Canis lupus familiaris: one gene and its partner. The protein of the gene in region 2 purifies or fractionates together with the protein of the main gene of each other region. This does not show direct contact. Links are inferred from orthologs where the notes say so. Each region holds a gene or a part of one and is shown on either strand. Other genes may lie near its edges.

The links. The genes of interacting proteins can lie anywhere in the genome.
Region 1: the proteins of RILPL1 (region 2) and RAB10 purify together in Homo sapiens (co-immunoprecipitation; 3 studies listed by BioGRID and IntAct, with this or other methods). This does not show direct contact. The link is inferred for Canis lupus familiaris from reciprocal best matches to the Homo sapiens genes RILPL1 and RAB10.

The regions. Positions count from the first base shown.
Region 1 is NC_049238.1:20,245,928-20,249,975, forward strand, and holds the start of RAB10 (ras-related protein Rab-10), read left to right. Parts: upstream 1-1,203; 5' UTR 1,204-1,696; coding exon 1,697-1,823; intron 1,824-4,048. UniProt on the Homo sapiens protein: The small GTPases Rab are key regulators of intracellular membrane trafficking, from the formation of transport vesicles to their fusion with membranes.
Region 2 is NC_049247.1:6,343,706-6,347,265, forward strand, and holds part of RILPL1 (RILP-like protein 1), read left to right. Parts: intron 1-2,056; coding exon 2,057-2,201; 3' UTR 2,202-3,560. UniProt on the Homo sapiens protein: Plays a role in the regulation of cell shape and polarity. Plays a role in cellular protein transport, including protein transport away from primary cilia.

The sequences.
Region 1 (4,048 bases), on a different chromosome or scaffold from region 2:
TAAAAATATAGTTTTTACTTCTGTCTCAATCCCTGTTTCCAGATGTCTCAGGGTTTTCTCCTGTATCAGGACGAACCACAGGTTCAACTTCTCAGCCATGACATTCTAGGTGTGCTTTGCGGCGGTGCAACACACTGGGAATGGCAGGGCAGGAGGACGACTATTTAACCTACAGAAAGGAAGGAGAGGAAGAGGGAAGCATAAAGCCTGATGGGGGGAGCCCGAAGGAAGGGCTTAAGGCATATGAAAAGAGAGTGCCAGGAAGAGGCAGCGTCGGGTTGGGGCTGGCTTTAGTATCCTTCAATCTTGGACGCCGGTGGTTCGATTTTGGCGGCAGGGAGGGGCCGTGCTTCCCATGCATGGCGCTCGGGGCTCTCCCGTCTTCCAAAAGGACTGCAAGGCCTGCAGCGGGTTCTCGCCGTGGCGCCCGGCACCCAAGCCTCCACTTTGCGGGAAGGTCCTCCCCGCGCCCAGGTGTTCCTCAATCCTCCTCTCCTTGCCCTGAAAGGCGGATGACATCATCCCCACCTGAGCAGCCCGGCCAGTTTTTCCATTTCAAACTGCTGCTCTCTGGAACGTCAACTCTTGCTCGTTAAGCGGGATGGAGGTCTAAATGTTTCTCCCGTCACGATTAGCCACGAGGGCGGGCACTCCGGGGATGCGTCTCATTTTAGCAAAGAGCCCATTAACGACCCAGGGCGCCACTTTTTTCTCGCGTTTACGAGCCGCCGCTGCACCGGAACATATGGCCGTCCGAGCCTGTCAGTGCGCCGAGACCTTCAACTCGACACACGCGACAAACGGGACCGGGAGCCTCCGCAGCGTAGCCAGGAGGGCGACCCCCGGAAGACGCCCGGCGGGGTGTGGGGGGTGCCAAGGGGCTACTCCAGCGTGCCGCGCCTGCGCAGTCGCCAGGCAGCGCCTCCCCGCGGGGCGTGCTCGTAGCGCCGCGCACCCTATCAGGCGGCCGCAGGGAGCGCGCCCGCGGCCTCGCCCTCTCTCGCCCCTCCCCTCTCTCTTCTCCGCGGGGCCCTAGGCTGAGGCTCTGAGGCCCCGGCGCGCCGCTCCCCGCCCCCGCGTGCCCCGACACCCTCCGGCGCGCGTGCGCAGAGGCGATCCGCAGGGCGAGGGCGCGAGGGAAGGGCGGGCGTACGTCCTTGCGTGCGTCTCAGGCAGCGCGCACGCCGGCGTGAGAGGGCACGGGGAAAAGGTGGCTCTGGCCGGGGAGGCTCGGCTTCCTGTGGCTATGTAGCTGAGCTCGTCGGCTCGGGGTCCTCCTTCGCTGCCGCCGCCGCGTCCTGGCGCGGAGTTTCTGCTCGGGAGAGAGCCTGTCCTCACGTCCGCCGCGCTCCCTCGACGGCAGAGCTTGTTCGCTCGCCCGTGGGAGCGTCCCGGCCGAGCAGCCCTGAGGGGGGAGGGGAGGCCATTTTGTCCCGACCGACTCCCCGGAACCGGGCGGAGCGGCTGGGAGAGGCTGCGGAGCCGCGGTCGCCGCCCTCGGAGGCACCGGACGCCGCCACCGTCGGGGCTTCCTCGACGAGGCCGTTCGCAGGTCGCCCGCGCCCTCTCGAGCCCTCGTTTTTCCCACGCTACCCCGGTCCTCCGGCCTGAGAACGCCCAAGTGAGGAGTTGGCCGTCGTGAGAGGGACCGATCCCTTGGGGCCGCCGGCGGCGAGAGCCTGAGCCGCTCCTCCCAATGGCGAAGAAGACGTACGACCTGCTTTTCAAGCTGCTCCTGATCGGAGACTCGGGAGTAGGGAAGACCTGCGTCCTTTTTCGTTTTTCGGATGATGCCTTCAATACCACCTTTATTTCCACCATAGGTAAGACCTGTGGGAAGATGGTGTACGGTCTGGGTAGCTGCAGACCGTTTCTTTTAACTCCAGACATCTTGCTTCCCGTAATAAACGCCTTTGTTTCAGTGATTCCGATTCCAGGCGAACAGACCCAAGTTACTGATTGAATCGACATCGAGCTTGCTGGGGCGGGGTCTTCCCATGCTTTCCATCCGGTCTTTTGCTTTCGAGTCTCCCACTCTGTTCATTGCCTCTGTTGCAAAATATGCAGCATTAACCACGTTCCAAAATGCTGTTTCTTTAAGCGCCTGGACTGGCTTTTTCCATATCTGTGTGGCGTTAACTAGATGTACGATACTTGTAAGGGATTTATTTTAGGGGATGGGATGGAAGCCGTAGTAGTCGTTTGGTAAAGGCCTGGATTTAATACTTAGGGGCAGAGAGAAGGTTCCATATGGTCATAACTTAGAGTAAACTTGAGGGTTTGTGTGAGGAATAATTAAAGCAAATTAGAGGGGAAAAGTGAGTTCCCCCGCGTTGACTAATCCATTGATGTGTCAAACAATCGGAGGCTCTTCGTGCTTGGGGTGGGACTCAGTTGGCACGTTTGCCTCACAGTGCTTTTCCAGACATCAACAGGAGCAGTAATCTAAGAGAGATGATCATTTTCAGTCCTCAAACCCGAAAGAATGAAGTCCTCTCTTCCATTTGACTTTACGCTCCGGTTTATAGGAAAACATTTGGCCGGTCCTCTTAGCCCTAGAACTTCTCATGTACTTTCACCTCATGTTTCAGGATTACTTAGATTAGTAAGTAAGAACTAAAGATTGACCTTTTAAGTCGGTTTCCCGTTTTGGAAAAGAGAAGGCTCTAGGAAAGTCCCTTTGGACTCTGGTTAGAAAATTTAGTGGCATTAACACAATTTGTGTTAAACGAGTTGTGTGTGGAAACCGTCCTTTCCCTCCCCCCCCCGCCCCCCCAAATATCTTAAAGGACACATGGTTGCTCCTGTCATGTGGAGCCCAGCACTCAGCATTGGGGGAGTGCAGTGAAATCCAATTATAAGTGTAACTAGTTTTATATTTGAGACGATTTTAAAAAGCAACTCCAGTCTTCTCTGAACTCTGGGAATTGTCAAAATTAAGCTGATTTCAATTTATAGCATTACTGGAATGGTTGATTTGGATTTCTTAGGACAACGTTTTAATTCATTGTTACAAAATTATGCTGAAACTAAATTGGGCAAGTGATCATTTAAAATAGATTTTAATTTTACTCTTCTTTTTTTCTGGGGTGGGTAAGAGTCATTGCAATCATTATTTCATGTGTATCATACTATTCTTTTGACCTGTCATAAATTTAATGAAATTTAGAACTTGTTCTCTGCTTGTGGATTAGCCCCTCCTATCACTAAGTTTGCTTTTAATATTCCCCTTTTAGCTGTAGCTGGGTGGGTCAAGTGGTTAGATCAGCAAATATTTATTGAGCACCTAATGTTAGGCACGGTTTTAGGTACTCTAAGTGGTGAACACAATAGACCCCTTGAGCAGTCTAGTGAGGACAGAGTGTGGGAACTGCTACAGTAGGGATGCACATAGGGAGGAAGGGTGATTAGCCTGAATCATGGGGAGTCTTAACTAGGCTTGCATAGATATGGTGTTTGAAATGAAGCCTGCAGGACATAGGAATTGGGATGGGATAGGGCCTAGAAATTCTGGAAAAGGAACATAGTCTGTGAGATCAAGGATTTAATTTGTGTGGTCAACTTTAACCTGCTATTGAGAAGAGTAGGCGGAGAATGAGAAGCAATGCATTAAGCCCTATTTCAGTCTTTTTATAATGGGTACACACCCTCAAGTAGAACCCAGTCCTCCTGTAAGATGACACAATCTTGTGTAGTCCTTTTTAAAAGTTTTATTTGTGTTTTTGGTAATCTCTACACCCATCATGGGGCTTGAACTCACAACCTTGAGATCAAGAGTCTGTGCTCTTTCAACTGAACCAGCCACCCTGTGTAGTCCTTTTATTAGGGAAAATGTGTGGTGGCTTTGGTTTGAGCCTGCTGAGTTGGAATCCTACTTCCACAGTCTGTGGGCTTTGGCAAGTTACTTAATTTCTATGTGCTTCAGTTTCTTCTTTAAATAGGACCTACTACATAGGGTAGTTGTGAGGATTTTATGGATCAGGGAGGGTAGAGCATCTAACATGGTGCCAGGCACACTGTAGGAACAGAGTGCATATTAGCAGGATAT
Region 2 (3,560 bases):
TGATCTCAGGGTTGTGGAACTAAGCACGGTGTCGAGCTCTTGCACTGGGCGTGGCACCTGATTAAGATGCTCTATCTCCCTCTCCCCCAGCCCCCCTCCAAAAAAAATTAATGGGCCAGTTTAGGAGTGCCTAGATGGTTTAGTCCACAGAGCGTGTGCCCCCCCCCCCTTTTTTTAAGAAAGGGCACAGGGGTTGGGTGGGGGGCAGAGGGAGAAGGAGAGAGAGAATTTTAAGCAGGCTCCATACCCAGCACAGGGCCAAACACAGGCCTCAATCTGAAGACCCTGAGATCATGACCCGAGCTGAAATCAAGTCAGACACTTAATTGACTGAGCCGCCCAGACACCCGGAGCGTGTGACTCTTAACCTCAGGTTTGTGAGTTCAAGCCCTACATTGGGTGTGGAGCCTATTTAAAATAAAATTTTTTTAAAGTTTTTTTCTTTTTTTAAATGGGCCAGTTTATAAGCTTTTTGCCTGTGATTTCTACCTTCATCCTTCAGGCATCAGATGGTTCACTTTGATCAATGATCAGTAGTCACAGCTATTTTTGGTTTGGGGTTTGTTTTTTTTGAGAGAGAGTGAGTGGGGCGGGAGGGATAAAGGGAGGTCGGACAGAGGGAGAGGGAGAAACAGAATCTTAAGCAGGCTCTATGCTGAGCAGATCCTGACACAGGGCTCCATCTCATGATCCTGAGATCATGACCTGAGCCACCCAGATGCCCCAGTAATCACAGATGTTTTAAAAAGACCTCTTGGGGGGATCCCTGGGTGGCGCAGCGGTTTGGCGCCTGCCTCTGGCCCAGGGCGCGATCCTGGAGACCCGGGATCGAATCCCACGTCGGGCTCCCGGTGCATGGAGCCTGCTTCTCCCTCTGCCTGTGTCTCTGCCTCTCTCTCTCTCTCTCTGTGTGACTATCATGAATAATATTAAAAAAATAAAATAAAATAAAATAATAAAAAGACCTCTTGGGGATCCCTGGGTGGCACAGCGGTTTGGCGCCTGCCTTTGGCCCGGGGCGCGATCCTGGAGACCCGGGATCGAATCCCACGTCGGGCTCCCTGCATGGAGCCTTCTTCTCCCTCTGCCTGTGTCTCTGCCTCTCTGTCTCTCTCTGTGTGACTATCATGAATAAATAAATAAAATCTTTAAAAAAAATAAAAATAAAAATAAAAAGACCTCTTGGTCTACATTAGTTGCTGCTATGTAGCAAGTTCTGGTGCTGACTTCTAAGGGCTTCTGCCCTCAAATCAATTTTTGACACTGTAAATTGGTGTTTTCCCCAATTTCATTTGCATATAATATTTAGTGTTTATCTAATGACAGAACCATGTGTGCTATTACTTATTTTTTAATTGTCTCATTTTTCTAAAATACTTTCAGCTCATCTCTAGCAGTAATATCCATGAAATCTGGGCTTTGATGTGCTGCATATGTACTTTCCTGATTCACATTACATAACGTAAATTAAAAACATCCATCTCTTTATGTCAGAATCATCTTAAACTCTGTGTGGCTTTCAGTTATTACCTTCTCTGCATCATTAGGGTAGAAAAACTCCAGATGTGTATTTCTAGTCGGGTTGTTTTTTGTTTTGTTTTGTTTTTAATTCATGAGAGACACAGGTAGAAAGAGAAGCAGGCTCCCCAAGGGGAGCCTGATGTAGGACTCGATCCCAGGACCCTGGGATCACGCCCTGAGCCAAGGGCAGATACTCAACCACTGAGCCACCCAGGTGCCCCTCTAGTTGGTTTTTATTTCCACTGATAATGGGAAGAGACTGTCACCAGTGCTTAACCAAGAGATGAGATGCATCACACATCACATATGTACATGCCCTTTTCACACTGTATCACCTCCCAGGTTTGGTGACAATGACATGCAGAATCCCCTGCTGCTTTCTCAAATAACTTTGACTTGCACCCCCACTTTTTCTTTCACACCTTGAATTGATTTGCTTCCTTCTACATTTGCTGCTGTCTGTCCTGGCATTGCAAAAAAAATCTTTAAAGTGCACAGAGGGCTGGCTTTCATTTCCTTCTCTCCCTTCCAAAAGGTTTAGCTTCTTCTCCCGAGATAAGAAGCGTCTGGCCAACACGCAGAGGAACGTGCACATCCAGGAGTCGTTTGGCCAGTGGGCCAACTCCCACCGTGATGACAGTTACACGGAGCAAGGACAGGAAGCCCTGCAGCACCTGTGACCACAGCCCGCCTCCACCCTGGGACCTGAATTATCCACCGCCAGCGCCAGCAGTGGGACCTGGCAGCTTCAGGTGTTGCTACCTTGCACACCTCTCGGTTCAGATGCACCCCTAGAACTGATCCCTCAAACAAACTGCTTTGAGGAAGCACACTGAAAAACTGATGCCAAACTCTAAAGAAATGTTTATTTATACCCAGGGCTATGACCGTTTATAATAGATGACTGATCCCTTAGGATATATATTTAATAACACCATGAGCAGAGGCCAGACTTTTGCATTAACTTCAGTAACACAAGCTTCTTTAAGCCAAATACATCACATGCCACTATAATTACTGTTTGACTTACTTTGTATGAAATTCCGTGTAGGGGTTTTATTAACACATTTGTCGTACTGAAGTGGGAGGCAGGAAGCAGTAGATTTTCCTTATATCTCTCATGAAATTGTTGTGGTGGTAGCTCAGTACATAGGATGCATCCATTAGATAAGCAGGATAAGCCTCCAAAGTCACCAGACAAGCTGGCCCCACTTAGATGTGAGGCAACAGAAAATATGGTCCTCCTAACCCAGAAACTGGAGATGACTTTGCAAGAGCCAGTGGTTCTCTTTTGCACCTTGTTACTGATATTGCCTAGAGCATGTAACGAGTGCCTTGGAATCGGCTGTGAGTTATGCAGTACTAACCAAACAAAGTTGCTAAGGATGAGACATTGCAACCCTTTTCATTTCTTGTTTGTATTTTTTCCCCCTCAGCTTCTTTCTTTATCTTTAAATACATCAAACAGTCTCCTATAAAGAAGACCAATGTACAAGAGCAGATTTGAAAAGGGCGGGGGGGGGGGGGCGGGATAGGCTCACCAGCGTGAAGGCAGTGGGTGAAGAGATTGCTTGGGGACCGCATGTCTGGCTGACTCATAGGGATGTGGTGACACAGAGAGGGGCAGAAACCTGTATCTGGTGAGCTGAGATTTTGCCCAATAGCACTGTCTTTCTCTCTGCCCGCAGAGGACACCTCAGGGCACAGGCTGGGTGCTGACAGATTGAGAGAGGTAGCATTTGCTAGCAGAACACTCAAGTAACATCTGATGAGTCCACTACACATTCTGCTATGGTTTGCTAAGAAACCATCAGGTTGGTTTACAGTATATGGGGACTCTGTTTCCAGATTGCAGAAAAGAATGATCAGACAGGATAATGTTGCTTATGCACTGTGGTTCTCAAACCTGACTGCCCACAAGAATTATCAGTTGATTCTCAGAGTATAAAAGCAAGTGTATTGAGGAATCCCACTCCCCCTGGCCACTTTTAGTTGCCTTCTCAGGATTAACCAATGTTGCCAGTTTCTTGAATGTCTTC